Arabidopsis thaliana: one gene and its partner. The protein of the gene in region 1 interacts with the protein of each later gene in a pairwise test. Each region holds a gene or a part of one and is shown in the gene's direction. Other genes may lie near its edges.

Region 1 (3,842 bases):
CAATTCCATCTTTTTTACAAATTCCATGTAGTTGATTGTATTTGTAGCTGAAAGCAGCATCGACTCCAAATGCTGTGACGACATGAGAGTTAATGAATTAATGAAAACAATAAACAAAAGGTTCCATAATTACAGTATCAAACATTCAGTTCAAGAAGACGATCAAATTCAGAAACCAAAAAAATAACGCAGATTCATACCAACTGCAGGCACTCCATAAGTCTCAAATAGCAGTTCTGCCATTTTGCTACGAGATTGAACTGGGTTGCATGCACATTCAGTGATTAGGATTGGATGATCAATCTGTACTGCCATCAAATGACGTTAAATGACGAGACAAAATTCTGACAGGTAGTAAGATGAAACTCAAAATCAAGATGAAAACAAAAAAGTTCTAGGACGTACCCCTGATCCATTAGCACCCAAACGATCAAAGGCGTAGTCAAGAATCTAAAAAGCAGAAAAATCAATTAGACAAGTGGGTTCTTCAGTGATTGCATTATTTAATTAGCATAAACATCAAAGAACTTGGAATACAAAGAAATGATGAGAGCAAGAAATTCCTGGAACAGAAGACCTTACAAATATACAATACAATTCGTTATTGAATAAACGGGTATAGAATCCATACATATTCCATGATCTCAAACTGATAAACCACATTGCTGTCAAAAGGGGAACGTGGTCCAGAGCGAGTGCAATCAAAGTACTTCATCATGGAAGGATCCAGGTCGCCAACAATAGTAACAGTTTCACCTGTACTAGAGAGAAGAACTAACCATTACAACAACATTACAAACACACCTAGAAGATAATTTAGAAGCAGAGCAACTTTTAAGCAAAATAGGATAAAGCATAGTTATATATATCTAGAAATCGTAGCCAAAACTTCAAGCAACTCTGCTCTAGTACTTTGAAACATATCATTGGCTAAATTTGTTACTCTAGCAGCGAAACAAGCAATTAAGACACATACATAGAAGCGGGAAAATAGAGAAAAAAATAAAGACCTGTAGCTTTGTGGCGTGGTCTTTGCACGATATTGCGGAAAACAACACGAGGCTCAGTTTCTCCTGCCCACCTAAAAAAACGCAAGAGAATTTCAAAATTTAACACGATTTTTACGAATTGGGGAAGAGAATTACTAAATACCAAAAACCTCAAGTAAAAGTGAGTTAGCGATAAGAAGGAAATTAGGGTTTATGGAATAAAAGTACCCGATACGGAAGTAGGAAGCGCCATTATCGATAACAATGGGAATCGAAGATGGATATGTATTGTAATCACTCTGCCTACGTATCCTCGAAACGAACGCCATGGCTTTCTCTTCCTACTGCGGTGTTGATTTAGTCGCCGTCGTCAGTCATCGACTGATTTTGTAATAAGTAAATTCGGCCACCTAGTTCTCCGGTGAAAGAAAGAAGAAGACACAAATGGAGCTCCGTGACGTGGAAAAACATTATTAGGCCCAAAACCCTCTGACTTAAAAAAGACTTGATAATTGAATAAATAGTTTAATGTCGTTGACATAAACGTAAGCCGTCTTAGCTCAGTGGTAGAGCGCGTGGCTTTTAACCACGTGGCCGTGGGTTCGATCCCCACAGACGGCGTTTTCGTATTCCGACATAGGTTGTCTTTTTTGCTGCTTTTCTTTAACTGAAATATTCCGACCAATTTTTTCCAGCTGATAAGCCCAACGGACAATGTGTAATATTGCGATTTTATATAAAAGTTTTGGGCCTTTTGATTTTCCTTGCAATAATTAACACTCGGTCTTCTCCAACCTAACAATTATTCTAGGGTTTTAGAGTTTCCGCACGAATCACGAATCTCTCTCTCTTTCACACACTTCACACTTTCAATATACACTCTCATTATGACTACCGAAGAGAAAGAGATCCTCGCCGCCAAATTGGAAGAACAGAAGATCGATGTAATTGATTACTCTTTTATTCTTTACCTATCTATCATCTCTGTTTATTTGTTGTTATTTGTCTTTTAGTCTGGAAATCATTAGACTGAATTCAGAGTTTTTTAATCTGTTCCTGCCCAGATCTTTGCTTTTGTTTTGTTTTGTATATGCAAATATTGGACCTTATTATAAGACTTTAGATCTGAATTTACATGTAATTAACCTTTGTGGATTCTCTCATTTTCCCAATTAGTTCAATTATTGATGATTTGTTGTAGCTCGATAAGCCCGAAGTTGAGGACGATGATGATAACGAAGACGATGACTCTGATGACGATGATAAGGATGATGACGAGGCTGATGGTAAAAGCTTTCTACATTTCATTCATCAAATTACTGGAATAATTAGTATAGTTCCTAGTATTTCTGTTAGCTTACATCTGGGGCAGATTTGTTGATGCTCACGTGTATGTGTAGATATGTAGCAATGATAATTATATGGCCATAGCTTGAAAATTTAGTGAAAATGAATCCATCTTCTTTGTTTTCAAATAATCTTTGCGTTGACTTGTGTTGATAGACATGTTTGTGGAACTTAATGTTATCATCTATTTTATTCTTGTTGATTGGTGATTGGAAAACAGGACTAGATGGAGAGGCAGGAGGTAAGTCAAAACAAAGCAGAAGTGAGAAGAAGAGTCGCAAAGCCATGCTCAAGCTTGGCATGAAACCCATCACTGGTGTTAGCCGAGTCACCGTCAAAAAGAGCAAGAATGTTTGTGTTTTCTCTTTAATATTCAGTCAATCTTAATTTCTTTTATTCACACATCAGGCTTTAATATTGATCTGTTTTGGGGACATTTGCTTTGGAACACAGATCTTGTTTGTCATATCAAAGCCTGATGTGTTCAAGAGTCCAGCATCAGACACATATGTGATCTTTGGAGAGGCGAAGATCGAGGATTTGAGCTCTCAGATCCAGTCGCAAGCAGCAGAGCAATTCAAGGCACCAGATCTCAGCAATGTGATCTCAAAGGGTGAGTCATCGAGCGCTGCAGTGGTTCAGGATGATGAGGAGGTTGACGAGGAAGGTGTTGAGCCAAAGGACATTGAGTTGGTGATGACTCAAGCAGGAGTGTCTAGGCCAAATGCTGTGAAGGCTCTCAAGGCTGCAGATGGAGATATTGTCTCTGCCATCATGGAGCTTACCACCTAAACCAAAGTCTTTTCTACTTAGATGTGGTTTAACCTGAGTTATGTGCCAGAGATTGTCCAAAGAATTCGGAAATTTTTGGTTTCAATGTTTTTCATGAAGTGATTTTCGATGTTGTATCAGTATAAACCTCATAAGTTTTTGATTTTCAGTTTGATTTTATATTGAATATCAAGTCCAAGTGTTTACCATTATAGACTTGTAGTTATAATTTGTCAAGTATCAGTCTGTTTAATGAACCGAACCCAAAGGATATGGACACCCCTTCACTCCAACCAATACGAGGTATCAACTGAGGTTAATCGATACATGCAGTACAATGTACAAAGTGCTACAAGTGGAGGTTCATAGACTAGAAAAGTATTCAACAGGACCTGATTCTAAGAGAAATTGTTATAAAGCCGATGTTTATTACCTAACTCCTCAAGGAAGGAGGCTAGGGAGTTGCAAGGAAGGAGCTGGTTTTATCCAAGACTACGAAAGATTCAAAGGCACACTGATGAAGCAAAACAAGGCGTAAGGATGTTGCAGTTGCTGATAAGAAGACTTGACAAGGTTTCATCATTGATGGTGGAGCTAATGGGTTCAATTCGACAAGGTTTTAGTTTCCTTTTGCATGGTGAATAAACTAAAGCAACATTTTTTTAATGGAGAAGAAAGAAGAGTCATCAAAACTGTTCCAATATCCAAAACAAAGATACTAACATTCTCAAACCA
Region 2 (16,710 bases), on another chromosome or scaffold:
AATTCAACAGAACTATAGGCTGCAACCTTTTTAGTGCCCAGCTTCCTCATTTTACTCCTTACTTTGTCAACACAATCCCATTTACCAGCAGCTGCGTAGATATTAGACAGTAGTACGTGGTATGAACCAATATCAGGAGCTGTTTCAACAAGAACGTCTGCCACTTTCTGCCCTAATATCATATCACGATGAACTGCACAAGCACCCAACAAAGCTCCCCAGATACCGGTATCTGGTTCCACTGGCATCTTTTTGATAAATTCATAAGCCTCCTCTAGAAGACCAGAGCGTCCCAATAGATCAACCATACATGCATAATGCTCTTTTCTAGGCTCCAGATTCTTATCATTCGACTGAACCATGAGACTGAAATACCTTTTTCCTTCATTCACTAGTCCAGCGTGGCTACAAGCAGATAATACCCCGAGAAATGTCACGTAGTTAGGTCTAAGTCCCTCATTCTGCATCGTAGTGAACAATGTCAAAGCTTCTCTGCTATCTCCATTCATTGCATATCCTACAATCATTGTGCTCCATGAAACCACATTCCTCTGTTTCATTTCCTCGAATAATACCCTGGCAGCTTCAGTGTTACCACACTTTAAGTGCATATCAAGCCTTGCATTTTCGACTATTATGTTACAATCAATCTCTTCTTTCCTCGCACGATCATAAATTTCTTCTCCAATCTCCAAAGAGCCTAGCTGACCACAAGCAGAAAGCATACTCACGACAGTAAACGAATCAAACTGAACTGCATCCGCGCACATTTTGTTGAAATACTCAAGAGCTATAGCGGAGTTCCCCGTTTGAACACAAACCGCAAGAAACGCATTCCAAGCCACTAAATCTTTGACTTGCATTGACTCAAACAAAAACTCAGCCGAACTCAATTCACCAAACTTCATGTACATCATTACCAACTCAGTTGCAACAATCCCAAGACACCCAAAACCATATTTCACCACATGGGCATGAAGAGCAAACCCACAGGAAAAATCCCCAAGCTGAGAGATCGCTTTCACCACAAACGGGTAAGTAAATTCATCAGGACGGACACCAAGATCACGCATTTTCTTATAAAGTAGGAGACTTTCAAAAGGGAGCTGGTTTCTAACGTACCCTTTGAAAAGAGTGTTCCAAAGGAAGATCCTCGGCTTGTGCATTTCGTCGAACACCTGGCGTGCGTAACACATGTCACCAATAACTACAAGATTCTCTAACAGCTGAGTTAAAAGACTGTTCTTTTCAGAGAAACCTGTCCTTAGTACAATCGCATGGATCTTCTTAAGCTGCTTCGGCTTTGAAGAACTTGCTCGTAAGAGCTCGGAGAGCATTTGTTTTGTTAATGGCGTTTGTTTCGCAAGCATCTCTTCCGTCCTTCCTCCTTACTTTCAAGTGTCTTAAAATGTAATATACTCGTCTGATTTTTACAAAGCCCAATTTCTACAATAAAAGGCCTAATTAAGTAAGCCCAAATTAGATATATTACAACAACTATGGGCCTAAAGACCCAATGACCCAAAATCGTGAATTAGCTCGACGCCGACTGGATGTTCGGAAAAGGTTTAATACCTATCTAATTAATTGGATTTTTGATTTCTGTATTAATGTCTTTTTTTTATAAGTATTATTAGTGTTGCAATAAAATTAGTATGTTAAAATATATATTTTAATCCAGCCCTATATTCATCTATTTACTGTAATTTTTGTATTCATCTATATTTTAATATGTATGAATATATTTATAAATTCCATTAATTTCTTAAGAAAATAGTAGGTCCAATATCATGCCTTAAAGAATCTTAAAAATAGTAGAACCACAAAATAATGGTACAAAAAAATGATTTCTTTTGTTTTGTTTTGTGGTTCTACGACCATTTTTGCAAAATGTAAATAATTTTCAGTTGTGTGTATATTATATATCTAATTGCAGCTTCATTGTAAAATGTAAATAATCTTCGATTAATTTTATACTTTTATTTTTTTGGGACGGTTTTTGTGAACCAAAAATATTGTTTAGGTCTTGAACACTTTCATAGACTACATATAATCCATCAAGACTGGAGACCGGAGAACGTGATGATTATGTATGATAGGAAGACTGTAAATGAAAAAATAGATGACATGGACATTGCTAAGATTGAACATGGACATTGCTAAGATTGAACATGCACCATTCTTGAGTCACCTTGCCAGAGGTTGTTATGTTTCTTATACCTTATATTGATTTGATAAACTAAATGATATGCCGTAATTGTCAACACGTGATTGAGTTTTCAAACAATCTTTAAGAATGCATGTGTAAAAATTGTAGGTGAGCGGAGTCTGGGTCTCCAACCACTAGAGCAATTTGACGGCAAAAAGGAAACCACTGCACCTGATTCTCGGTAATATAATCTCCAATCTCTTTTCAATTTTTATTCCGCTGATTATTCGCTAAAATGTATATACTCCTTATTTGTTGTCTGATCGTTAATGAAGTGCTTCTTCACCCCTTTTTTGACCTTACAACAGTTATTGGAGATGCAAAGTAGAATGTAAAGCTAGATCGTAATTTCTTAGAACATAGCGACAAAAAACAGTGTAAAGAACTTGAACGCTCCAAATAATAGCTACATATATTTGATAAAAGATTACAAGTATGACAATGTGATTGATTTGTTAAGAATTATTCCCAACATTGTGCATCACTTTGGTTGACTCCCGAAAAACATAAAAGTATGTTATTTCAACTCTAATTATTTGTCCATATCTAGAACTAGATCGGAACTTTCTACACAAAAAAAAAAGAACTAGACGTGAAATAATGAAACAATTCAATGAGACCTTATTAGTGTTGTAATAAAATTTAGTATTATTACTTATTAGTGTTGTAATAAAATTAGTATGTTAAAATTTATATTTTAATATAGCCCTATATTCATTTATTCACTATGGTTATTTATCTATATTTTGATATATGTGAATATTTGTGGGTCCAATGTCCTCTTAAAGGCATGTTCTTTGATTGCTGGTTTGATTATAAAATCATTTTTCTTGTACCATTTTTATTTTGTTTTGTGATTTTTCTTCCACTTTTGCAAAATGTAAATAATCTTCAGCTATGTATATATTATTAGCTAATTTGGTCATATAAACGTAGCTTAGTCTATAGTAAATTAATCATCTACATATGACTTATACATGCATAAAGTGAGTATAAATGTATGTTTACATGCGTAAATCAGAAGAACCTAAACATATTTCATTTAGTACTACATGTTATTGATTTTTCTACCTAGACATGGACGTTGAACCCCATCAACATATTAAATTCATTGTCTGATATTTTCTCAGAACATATATACTTTTATTGTTTTTCTGCCGATGTGGACAACAAAAGCATGGAATACGTTCGACCAATAAATCTTCGTCTCTTATTTGATTAATGTGAGTGTATCACCAAAACTTGAATTATTTGCCATTTATTTTTATATCCGACCGTGGACTATAATTTCTTTTTATTATTTGGTTATATATTGTCTCCGTTTTTGGTTTAAACGTCGATTCAATTTTGATTGACATTTGAATCGAAGCCAAATCACGAAAACACACATTCGAGAAAGCTTAGAACTGAAATGAAAGAGTGCAAAAAAGTTACACCAATATAAAGTTGTTGAAATTTCGGAATCTTGTAAGATTAAAAGATTGTTAGTAGAAAAAACTCAACCTCCCAATCAAAAATTACAAAAATAGTAAAATATTCATCCACAAATTTCATTTTTTTAAAAAGAGAACATTCACACACACTTCTAGATTGATCAAAGATAAAACACTTATATAAGTTCGACTAAACCTAAAGATATTATCCTCATTAATTAGTCACAACTTCCCCAACCAATTTCTTAAGTCAAGTAATTCCTTTGCTCCGGTGGAGGCATTCTCAATGTTTAAGGAATTAGTGGCGGGACCAAGAAAAATCTTATCAAAGTCAAACAATAAAATGGAGACAAAATTAAGTGCAAACCTTAAACTTGAACGGGTCATACACAACCAAATCTGCCAAAAAAAAAAGTATTTTATTCAATGAAAAAAACATATATTCTATAAAATTTGAAGGCATCATTTTCAGTTTTTTCACCCTCTTCTCATAACGTAGGTCCCGACCATATTTGAGATTTTATCCATCATAATGAAAAATGAACTAAACGGCTCCCTTTCAACACCACATTACCGACACCCAATCAGCTTTAAAACTCAATTCTATGGTTCATTTATTTTGAATCTAACCATATTATTAAGATGTGGTTGGCTTACACAATCAATAGTTATGTACTATACCAAATAACTTATTGACCAATCCTATAAAGAATCGTTTCAAAACACTTTTAGAAAGATGCTTTACTTTCTAAAACGATCGTTTTCAGTCAGGTTTTCTATCGGTTCACCTATTTTCTCTTTTGTAGAAAGGCGATCGTGATTGTTACCGGCCTCACTAAATTATGGTTTATATATTATAATTATCTATGGATTGATTATGATTTCCTAGGCATGTACGTACGTAATATTTTTTTTGTGCGACGTTTCAGTGAAAGTGTAGTTGATAGTGAATGTTTCGAGTTCAAGTTATAAATCATATCAATAGTAATCCAAATCTTTTTTTTTGTGATACGAACTTGGTAAACGTGAATCACATTTTGTAATAATGCAAGATGACAGAATCGTGGTAAGAAAAAGTAACTAATGTAACTTATTTTTACGTTTTAACCGTTATATTCTCTATATAAACGAAGGAGAAATGAAAGTATTCATCAAGTAAAGAAACAAACAAACAAACAAAAAACACACTTCACTCGCTACACAAGGAAGAGAGATGGCGACGTCAGGAACATATGTGACGGAGGTTCCATTGAAAGGATCGGCTGAGAAACACTACAAGCGGTGGAGGAGTGAGAACCACCTCTTCCCCGACGCCATCGGCCACCACATCCAAGGTGTCACCATCCACGACGGTGAATGGGACTCCCATGGAGCCATCAAGATTTGGAACTACACATGCGGTAAAAATATACACTTATTTTAGTTATATAACTCACGTCTGAAAACTAGAGCTTGGAATAATACTCGAGGTTAATCACATAAAAATGAATATATAGTTGTACGACTTTGTCACAAGAATACAGAGAATCCATTTTTCAAAAGGTTTCACTGCATATATGTAAACTCATATCTCTCTAAATTTGATTCACTTTATTAATTTATGAACCCGACAAATTTATTCAGAAAGCTTCTCCAAAAGTAGATCTGCGGATTTTTTCGAAAGGAATTACAAGTAACAACTACACGTGATGGAATAATCTCTTTACCTTAAAATTTAGTTGAGTGTTACATATATTATATATATAGTTCCAACATATATATGCACTTTAGTACAGAAAAAAAAAACATATATATGCATGTTGCTAACTTATAAATGGAACACATATATGAAAAGATGGGAAACCGGAGGTGTTCAAGGAGAGGAGAGAGATAGACGATGAGAATATGGCGGTAACGTTCAGAGGACTCGAAGGTCACGTGATGGAGCAGCTTAAAGTGTATGACGTCATCTTTCAGTTCATTCAAAAGTCACCTGATGATATCATCTGTAAGATCACTATGATCTGGGAGAAGCAAAACGATGACATGCCTGAGCCCAGCAACTACATGAAGTTCGTCAAGAGCCTCGCTGCTGACATGGATGATCACGTTCTCAAAGCCTAAATATCCCTTTCACATCAACCCATCATCACCTAATATCATGATCATCATCACCCTCATACGTACATTGCTCCTTTTGTGTGTGTGTGTGTGTATCGTTTTTATGGTGTTTTCAATATAATAAATGGGGGTTTACATGTATGGTTTCATCTACTATAATATGCTTTGATGTTGTTTATTATGGTTGAGGTTTCATGTATGCTCATCTACGCATGTATCCTTGTTAATTAATGATTTTCAAGAGTTATCAATCAATACTGCCCTTTTTTAAAGTGTTGCACTACGTATGTATCAGCTTCCACAAGCTCACATTGTATACAGCATTTGTGGTTGTATTATTCATCATTTTGTACGTTCAATTATGGTTATTATTCATACACAGTATTCATTATATTTATAGTGGTTGTATAGTATATTTAGTTGCTGTTGCTGTCTTTGTATGTTCATTTAGTGTATAGTAATTAATGCTGACTTTATAAGTTCATATAGTGGTTGTAACATTTATCATTTCTATGAGTATATATTATTACTCATGTCCTCCGAAATTGGACAACATTTAAACGATACAAGCAAGGAAGACAATAAAAATACAAAAATATTTCCTTCGAAACTCTAGTAAAGAAAGCATATAATGAAACCAGCATTTAGCAAAGATGAGGGGTCTATGTGGGATGGGGGTCTTGTTGGTTCAATGATGTAAAAAATCATTACGATTTGTTTTAAGGCTATTGTTTTTAATGGGTTGATATATGAATGACGAGGACAATGGTCATGTATATGGATTTTGTCAAACCTACTAATTAGAATTGTGTTGTATGATAAGAACTTGGAAAACGTGAATTATGTATGGTATACAGCACAATCGCAAGTATCAGTAAATATCTATTAATCTAACATATAAATTTTGAGTTTATATGATTCTATATATCTTTGTAAATAAATAATGTTTATGCTGTGCTTGACAAAAAAAATGATTATGTGTACGTACGTATGCTAAGAGATGATCAAAATTATAACTAGAGACATTATTAGAGCAAAGTACCAGATAAGACTTTTAAAGATATTTGGAATATTATATGAAATATGAAAGTATCAGTTTAATAAATACTAAATGTAGAAAAATTACAATCGTGACAGTTAGCTTAACTCAAACTTTATACTAAAAACTATCTATACTATTAATTGGGAATCATCGGAAAATTTACAACCTTTTGAAACCCGCACGTATGTGCGGGTCAGGATCTAGTGATTCTTTAAATTTGGAAACTCGAATATCTCAAACGATATTAATTATTCAGGATATTGATATTACATGGATGGATCATGGAAATAAAGCGACAAATTGTTTGGAGCAGAATGGTACTATACATCATCAAATGGAGAGACGTCAACCATGAGAACTGCAAATCTTTAAGAAGTCTATCCTCACTACATGCAGAAGTGGAAGCGCTTCTCTGATGATGAGGTGTATGATTGGCGCTAACAATCAAGACGTAGCTTTTCTAATAGACTATTCAGATCAGGTGAAGATGGTGTCTTTCCTAACCGAATGACCAGCCTTCTCAGTGTATTTGGAGGATTTGAAAAACGACAATGAAGAATTTAAAAGTTTTCTTTTATCTTTAAATTTTAGTACAAATGTTAAAGCGGATAATTTGGCACGAAAAGTTCTATACCAAATCACATCATATCACATATGCAAACAACATTCTTCGGGAATGGATCTTTAATTTGAGTTCTAACTAATATCGGTTGACAAAAGAAAAAAGTTTAGAAATAATATTATCTCATTTAAACTAGATACATAAATGAAACAACAACACACCCATACACACAAAAAGCGACTCTATTTTGTTAAATAGATGAAGAGCCTCCTCTAGAAGATGAAGTGATATCTCTAGAACCAGCACTTTCAACCTAGCCACATAGTGATGGATTGATTAAGGACAACACCTCAGAAAAAGACTTGTCTATGCCATGTATACTTTCGCTAAGAAGTAAGAAGGGAGTGATTTGGCGCCAGGTAATTGCAATGTTTGAAGCGGTCTTTTTGGGGGTCTAGCTACTTCATCCTTCCAACTGTAGCTATCTTGAGTCTCAGGGAAGATCATAACCATTGTGAGCTTGTAGAAAAAGGCTTCTACATTGTCACTGTGGGCACTCGTGAACTGCCAGCCAATTTTAGAGGTCTATATAGAATCTTTTTTATCAAGAAAATGTGTATAACATATAAGAGCACCCTCAATAGTGTATCTTAGCAAAATCTTAGGATTAAAAGCAATTAAAATAAAGCAAACCAACAATCCAAAGCTAAGAAGTGTATTTTTCTTTAGATGTTTTTCTTAAGTTAAGATGTTTTTCTTAAGTTAAGATGTTTATATGTGTTATTTGATGATTGGTTTAAAAAATGAACAAAAATAGAAGATATTGTTTTAGAAAAAATGAACAAAATAGAAGATATTGTTTTAAAAATATCAATGAAAGTCACAGCTGGCAGGAAATCTACGGTATCGTTATCTGGTGGACTTTTCGGCATTCAAGGAACAATACATCATATCAACAAACAATAATTATGGTTTGTTTAAGGTTTAAATTAAAATTGATGTATGCATTTGTCTACTCTAATCCTTATCATTGATTCATTATATGCTTCTTTTTTTGTTGGTAAAACCATTATATGCATTTTGTCAAACCTATCCTTATCTTAATAACAAACAAAATACATTGTATGATAAGAACTTGGACAACGTGAAATATGACTCATTCTAAATATATTAGCAGTAGATATCAAATAAGTATAAAACCCGGCTCATCTATTTTACGTCTAAACCGTTACACACTCTATATATAAACGAAGGAAGATCACACGTGAAAATAGTCATCAACCAAAGTAAGAAGCGCACACACACAACATATTTCTTTCACTACCCAAAGAGATGGCGACATCGGGAACATATGTGACGGAGGTTCCATTGAAAGGATCGGCGGATAAACACTACAAGCGGTGGAGAGATGAGAACCACCTCTTCCCCGATGCCATCGGCCACCACATCCAAGGTGTCACTGTCCACGACGGTGAATGGGACTCTCATGAAGCCATCAAGATTTGGAACTATACATGCGGTAAAAATACATTTATATGGAATCCAAAGAATGGTGCTAACTTAATGAATGAAACAAATATGTACGCATATATGTGCAGATGGGAAACCGGAAGTGTTCAAGGAAAGGAAAGAGATAGACGATGAGAATATGGTGATAACGTTCAGAGGACTAGAAGGTCACGTCATGGAGCAGCTTAAAGTGTATGATCTCATATATCAGTTCAGCCAAAAGTCTCCCGATGATATCGTATGCAAGATCACAATGATTTGGGAGAAGCGAACCGATGATTCGCCTGAGCCTAGCAACTACATGAAGTTCCTCAAAAGCGTTGTTGCTGACATGGACGAGCATGTTCTCAAAGCCTAAATCCCTTTCGAACCATCGTCATCACCTATCATCATCATCATCATCATCATCATACATCTCCCTTTGTGTGTGTACTTGTATGGGTGTTTGAATCTTTCATTTGCGTAGTACAAAATCATTTTTAAATAAATTATGGTTTGAGTATACAGATGTTACAATGGGCCTGGGCTAAGCAGATATCTCAAATTATCCAAATGTTTTTCTTGATCATGCCATTGAAATGGTCATCAAGAAAACACACTTAATTGCTTATACATATATCGAAATAACTACAAAATTACAAATCATTCACAATAGAAAGGATAAAATAGTTCACTAAGTGACAAAAAATTTAAACGTCAGTCATACCCAAAATTTAGTCGTAACCGTATTTCAGAGAGTACCCGAACCGTTTTCAAAAAAGAGTAAATAATATTGCATATGAAAAAATTATAACATATTTTTATCTTATTAAAAGCAATAAAAAAAGCTCGATGATACGTAAAGTTTTGCGTCTATCTTATTATATAAAGTATGGTTTTCAAAGTTGCTAATTCATAGAATTTTGCCACGTGTCAAGTCAAACAATCAGATGTTTATATGTGTCATTCCAAATTTTACTTTTTTATTCTCTAAAAAAATAAAAAATCTTAAAAAGTAAACAAATTTACATATACTAATTTATATGTCTATATATTTATAAACAATTTACATTTATTCAACAAAAGGAAAATTAACAAATTTGTCTTTAACTCATGTAATCATAAGTGAAAAATAAAACGATCAGATGTTTACATGTGTCATTCCAAATTTTACTTTTTTATTCTCTAAAAAAATAGAAAATCTTAAAAAGTAAACAAATTTACATATACTAATTTATATGTCTATATATTTATAAACAATTTACATTTATTCAACAAAAAGAAAATTAACAAATTTGTCTTTAACTCATGTAATCATAAGTGAAAAATAAAACATTTTGAGAAAAATAGCTTAGCTTATAGGATTTAACTTTTCATTTATTTTTATTTATTAATTTTAACTCATTTAATATTAATTTGCATGATGTAAAATTAACTTACAAGATTACGACATATATACAAAATATATTTTCAACAATGTTTGGTTTCTAAATATTTTTGTGGATTTCTTTTTTTATTATTAATTATTAGCCCTAAGCGTTTGGGTATTCGGATCGGGTATTTCGGGTTTGGATTTTTGGGTTTAGAAGTTTAGGACCCGTTAAGGTAATTTAAGATTTTAGGTCGGGTTCGGGTTCGAGTTTATTTATATATTGAAATATCAAATTTTGTGTGCAAATCTATTAAATTACTTGAAAATTTCAAAAATTCCCAAAACAACACGAGTAGTTTTGCTTGAATATATCTAAAAATACACAAAATAACTAAAATATCAAAAACATCCTAATATTTTCTATATATAAGTATAAATATAACTAATATATACTTATATTTGAGATATGTTTGAATACCTATTCGGGTTCGGGTTCAAGTTTTTCGGGTTTTGAAGTTTAGACCCGTTCGAGTATTTGAAAATTTTGGGTACACCCGCCTAAATAGGCGGGCCTTATCTAGTTCTTAAATATATTGTAGTTATTAAATAACCATAAAGCATATTTAACCGTAATCGTTGTAACCATAACTGTATTCAACTGTAATCTTAACCGATGGTTAATAAACACCGTGGTCATGCCTACGCCTACGTCATAGAAGAGAATGCAAATTGCAAAAGACAAAACAAAATCAAAACAGAAAGTGAGAAATCAAAAAGATATTCAAATGAAAACATACAAAAGAAAGTCTCAAATTTTCCAGCTTTTCTTCTTGATTATGCCATTGAAAATGGTCATCAAGAAAACATACTTGAGTTGCTTATACATATGGAAACAACAACAACAGATTGATACACAACAACAAAAAAAGAAAGAAAGAAAGAACAATAATAAGTTTAGGTAGAGGAAGAGCCTCCACCTTTGGAAGAGGAAGTGATACCTCTGCAACCAGCACCTTCATGCCATTCAAGCATGATCTCAATCTCGCCACATTCGACATTGTTAAGTCTAAGGATCAAGTCTTGTGTGATCTTACCATTGTTCCAAACAATGCTACTCTCATCAGATAAACAATTGTGCCTTGATGGTTGAACCCTTTTGATAGCACACCCATTAGGTAGCCTCAAAAGCTCCATCCCCATTTTCAAAGCCTCTAAGTATGGTTGAATGTCTATGTTCGCATCTCCCATTTTGTCATCTCCTGTGAACTTGTCCCAATCAAACACTGTCTGAACGATTTCAACAAAAAAACAACAATGTTATCCCCAAGAACAGAACAAAACAAGATTTGTCTTTTGTCTGAATCAAAAGAGAGAATCTTTTTAAGTTTACCAAGCGGATTGGGACATTAGGATCTTTGATAGCAACAGTCATTTCTTCATTCCATACTGGGTTACAATTTTTTTTCACCACACGTGTCTTCAATGTCTGAAAGATTTCATTTTTGGTTTTGTATTAGACAAAACAAAACAGAGGATTTGAAGAAAACCCAAAGCAGAGGAAATAAAACAGAGGATTTGAAGAAAACCCAAAGCAGAGGAAATAAAAACAGAGGATTTGATAAAAAAAACCAAAGCAGAGGAGATAAAACAGAGGATTTGAAGAAAACCCAAATCCTGAATCTATATGAACAATTCAGGAACAGAGAAGAATCGTTATTCGGAGACTTGATTCATATAAGGCAATTTGTTCTCTATCGATTTCAAGGAGAAATGGAACCTGATCGGCGACGTTGAGAACGATGTAAGGATCGCTGCTACGATGGTCGCGAATGGCGAGATTAATCCCTCTCTTGACGTGGATCGTGAGCAATCCAAGAGGCTTTTGATCCATTTGAGAAGAAAGACTTTTTGACTAGGTCCGGTGCTGGAGATGGTAAAGGAGGAAGAAGAAAATTTTAAGAAGAATTTGGAGATGATGCTGAAGATGAATTGGTGCTTGTAATCTCGTCCCCAACTATTCAACACGTTCTCGTTCCCAATTGCTCTTAATTTTTCTTTTATAAAAAAGTTTAGCGAATTATAGTATCATTTTTTCAAATGATTGGGTAACTTGTTGTTCTTAAAATTTATTTATTCACACTAATCAAAAATGATTAGGAGTTTAGGACACGAGACTAATCTAATAATCGACTCGAGAGATAAAACAATAGTCATGGACTGAACAAAAGAAATATCTCGTCACAATGGGCTCGACGACTCCCTTTATAGATAGGAGACTAATCTAATATGGGTCTACTTTTGAACGTCAGTGAAGTATTACTACCAACTTGTAATAAAATCACAATAATGGGCTTGAGTACTTGATTAACAGGCCCATTTAAAAGATTTTACGTTTAAGAATCTTTCAAATTTAACAAACAAAGAGATTATTGCATGGAGAGACGGTTTTGGTGCTTGTAATTTTTTTTCTTTTTTTTAATAAAATGTTAAATTATACTCAAAAGAAAAAATGTCGGTTGTACAACGAGTGCATCATGGTGTTTAAGAGACTAAGCGTAGAGCTAAACTTTACAAGTTAACTACTAGATTTTAACCAAAACTGAAAGCCTTGGTCATATCTTCTATCACCCATAAGTTTGATTGCTGAAAGTTGATCACGTATTTGCTTATCTATCCATCGAACAAGTTGAGCTGCTTGATTCGGGTTGCGCCCATGCTTCCTCCTATTGCGCTCACGCCATATTGCATAGACTGAAACTTGAAAGATATACCGTGCGATAAAACTTTCTACTCGATCTTTCCAGTTTTCTTGAATCTTTGTGAGTAGGTGTCGCCAATCCGTAGAGTAGCTTGACTTGTAGATGCTTTTTGCTGACATTTCCCAAACTTCTGAGCTAAAGCTGCAAGAGAAAAATAAATGATCTCTTGATTCAGTTGCATTTCTGCAGAGAAGACATGTCCCCTGCAAACCTCTGTTCCAAAGAAGCATTTTATCTCCTGTGGAGAGCCTATCATAAACTGCAAGCCAAACACAAAAAGAAAACTTCGGTGTTGAGTGAGTGAACCAGACCCCCTTGTGCCAAGGGACCTCGATGCCCATTGTTCTGGTATTGTTCCACGTTTCCTTCGTCGAGAAACAATGGCGGTAGTCATCATTTTTGCCTTTCCAAAGAGTAACGTCATCATTTCCATTTCTACGTTGTCGTGTGAGTTCAAGAGCCTCCTCCATCTGATTGAGAACATTATCCCTGTGTCGTCTTTGACGTCTACCATTCCATGCCTCCTCAAGAGTCATCTTTCTACTGATCCCCATATCTATTGTCCCTCTATCTCCAGCAATTTCAACCAGCCTGCCCAAGGTAGACCAGTCATCATACCAGAAAAAAGTGTTGCGGCCAGTGTTTACTTCTTTTTTGCAAAACTGCTTCGCCATATCCTTGAACTTGATAAGTTTTCACCACATCCATGAACCTTTGCTTGTCGATTCTTTGATAGACCAAAAACTTTCCGTGTTTAAAAGATAAGTCTCAACCCATTTTACCCACAAAGAATCTCCTCGAGAGAGTATCCTCCATATCAGCTTTAAACAACTCACATCATTCGCCTCCTTTATAGACCTTAAACCGAGTCCACCTTCTTTCTTCGGCTTACAAACATCGTCCCAAGCTACCTTAGCTTTGTGAGAATTTAAATCCGGACCAGACCAGAGGAAAGTAGAACATAACTTATCGATTTCTCTGATACATTTTCGCGGGAGCCGGAACGCAGCAAGCCAAAAGTTACAAATGCTCCATAGGACCGAGCTTATCAAGTTTAAGCGACCGGCGTAAGAAAGAAATCTAGCTGTCCATGACCCAATCTTCTTTTTAAGCTGTTCTATGAGAGGTAAGTAATCTGCAGCGGTTAGGCATTTGGTTACTAGAGGGAGTCCCAAATACCTCACCGGTAGAGTCCCTACATCAAAACTGAACCGGTCTTTGATCCATTGGTGAGACACTTCTGAAGTTCCCGCTAGATATATGGTTGTCTTCTCCATACTAATTTTTAAACCTGAACTTTTAGCAAAAACGTCAAAAACTTTCACAATACCCTCTATAGATCAAACTTTTCCGTCCGAAAGGATCATGAGATCATCAGCAAAGCTCAAGTGGGACAGACCAATACTTTTACACCGCGGGTGGTAGCCAATTTGCTTTGCTTCTGTTGCTTGATCAAGCATTTTTGATAGAACATCCATGCTTATAACAAATAGATAAGGGGAAAGAGAGCAACCCTGACGTAGACCTCTTGAACTTTGAAAATAGCCTGCCAATTCTCCATTGACTTGCACCGAAAAAGAAGCCGTAGTAACACAAAGCATAACCCAATGAACAAACTCCGGTGGAAAGTCCAAAGCCGACAAAACGTTTTTAAGAAATGACCACTGAACAGAATCAAAAGCCTTTGAAATGTCGATTTTAATAGCACATCGACCCGAAATTGTGTCCTTGTGATAGTCCTTTACTAACTCTGTGGCTAATAGCAGATTCTCAATTAGGAGCCGGTCTTTTACAAATGCAGATTGGTTTCCCGCGATGAAATTCGGGAGAACATGTTTCAATCTATTTGCAATGATTTTTGAGATGACTTTGTAAATGACGTTGCAGCACGATATCGGTCGATAGTCTTTCATTTCTTTCGCCTCCAGTTTCTTTGGGATGAGAGCTAGAATGGTAGTATTAACACCCTTTGGTAGAAAACCCTTTTCAAAAAACGATTTGACTGCCAAAACAAATTCCGCACCAATTATATCCCATGCCCGCTTGTAGAATTCAGAAGTGTAACCGTCTGGACCCGGAGATTTATCATTTGGCATTGAGAATAAGGCTCCCCTTATCTCTTTTGCTGAAACTGATGCAGTGAGCATATCCTTTTCCGCTGGGGAACAATGATAAGGCAATAGAGATGTTAATTTCTCCACTGTTATTCCCTCATAATCATTCGGGATTAGCTGAAGAAATTCTTGAAAAAACCTTTCAGTCTCGTTCTTGATATCATCTTTAGTTGTGGCAGTACTACCATCTTCCTTCTGAATTTCGCGAATAGAGTTTTGAGCTGCTCTAGCGGTTGCTGCGCGATGGAAAGTTTTGTTGTTTTTATCCCCAACCTTTAACCAATGAAGCTTTGATACCTGCTTAAGATACTTCTCTTCAATGCTAGCTATCCTGTCCCAACGAACATAAGCTTCCGATTCTATTTCCATGGCTCTTTGAGATGGATTTTGTGAATTACTCTGTTGCGCCTGACAAAGACTGAGATAGGCTTCTCTCGTCCTTTTCACCAAATTTCCCATTTTTTCCTTCGCCAAGCCTCGAAGTTTTGGTTTAAGAGCCTTGAGCTTCTTAGTGAACCGGAACAGGGACGACGTGGACATGTGTATAGGCTCTGTTTCTCTCCAAAAATTTTCCACCAAAGGTTTAAACTCCTCCATATCGGCCACAGCATTCACAAACTTAAAAGGCTTATTTCCTCTCACTTGTGCACCAGAGTTCATATTTAAATTGATACGACACCGTAAATGGTCAGAACACCCTCCCGCTTCAAAAACATTATAAGATTGTGGGTAGACCATCTTCCAAGCCTCATTCACCATAACTCTATCCAGTTTTTTCCAAATTGGGTCATTATCTCTCTTATTGCACCAAGTAAAAAGGGGCCCGTGAGATGCCAAGTCTGAGAATGAGCAGTAGTTCACCAAAGACTGAAAATCTCGCATACCGGAGGTAACTGCTGGGTGATCTTCCATTCGAGAGTGCTCATCCATATCCAAAATCTCATTAAAATCTCCAAAAATTATCCATGGTTTATCACGAATGATCGGAGAGTCCATATGGTCTCGAAGATCATTCCACAAAATCTTTCGTTCCTCTGCAAAGTTTGAAGCATATACAAAAGAGTAGAAAAATTCTTCTTCTTGGCTTTCTAGTTTCACCGAACAAGTTATCAACTGGTCACTCTTGTAAAACGGAGTAAACCTTACATTCTCCCTCCACACTACCCAAAGACGACCTCTTCTATTAAACTCATAGTTAGTTAGCATGGACCAATCCTTGAACAACTTAGAACCCAACCACTGTGAATTTTCCTCCTTAACTCTCGTCTCAATGAGACAACCAAACTGAAAATTCTGCTCGTCCACCCATTTCTGAATTACGGAATGTTTATTTGATTTGTTGAGGCCGCGAACATTCCAAAAGAAACCCGACATTAATGATGTTTTGGAGGGAGCCCTTTACTCTGATCTTTAGGATTATTCCTAGTAGAAGGGTTTGATAATACTTTATGTGCTGACTTTGATCCCCTAGGCAAAGAATGACGCAAAATCATCTCCTTCTTTGCTAGTCGATTCTGATTTTCTACCTTTTCCTGAGGCGGGTCTTGAGTTGAGTTTTGTGTTTCCTCCGCTTGTTTCTCAACACTATCCGCTGTTATGATGTCCTCTCCACTTTCATCCTTACCATTCAG

The links.
Region 2: the proteins of AT3G12390 (region 1) and MLP329 interact in a two-hybrid assay, tested with the Arabidopsis thaliana proteins (one large-scale study listed by BioGRID).

The regions. Positions count from the first base shown.
Region 1 is NC_003074.8:3,940,468-3,944,309, forward strand, and holds AT3G12390 (Nascent polypeptide-associated complex (NAC), alpha subunit family protein), read left to right. Parts: upstream 1-1,789; 5' UTR 1,790-1,876; coding exon 1,877-1,933; intron 1,934-2,190; coding exon 2,191-2,275; intron 2,276-2,556; coding exon 2,557-2,687; intron 2,688-2,789; coding exon 2,790-3,128; 3' UTR 3,129-3,342; downstream 3,343-3,842. Other genes in the region: ARP5 (actin-related protein 5), read right to left, coding at 1-72, 201-303, 406-450, 632-774, 1,011-1,081, 1,218-1,318; ELC (Ubiquitin-conjugating enzyme/RWD-like protein), read right to left, coding at 3,611-3,753. UniProt on the Arabidopsis thaliana protein: May promote appropriate targeting of ribosome-nascent polypeptide complexes.
Region 2 is NC_003071.7:231,137-247,846, forward strand, and holds MLP329 (MLP-like protein 329), read left to right. Parts: upstream 1-8,532; 5' UTR 8,533-8,678; coding exon 8,679-8,865; intron 8,866-8,944; coding exon 8,945-9,213; 3' UTR 9,214-9,551; downstream 9,552-16,710. Other genes in the region: AT2G01510 (Tetratricopeptide repeat (TPR)-like superfamily protein), read right to left, coding at 1-1,370; MLP328 (MLP-like protein 328), read left to right, coding at 4,856-5,042, 5,477-5,745; AT2G01540 (Calcium-dependent lipid-binding (CaLB domain) family protein), read right to left, coding at 11,161-11,493, 11,597-11,692, 11,984-12,097.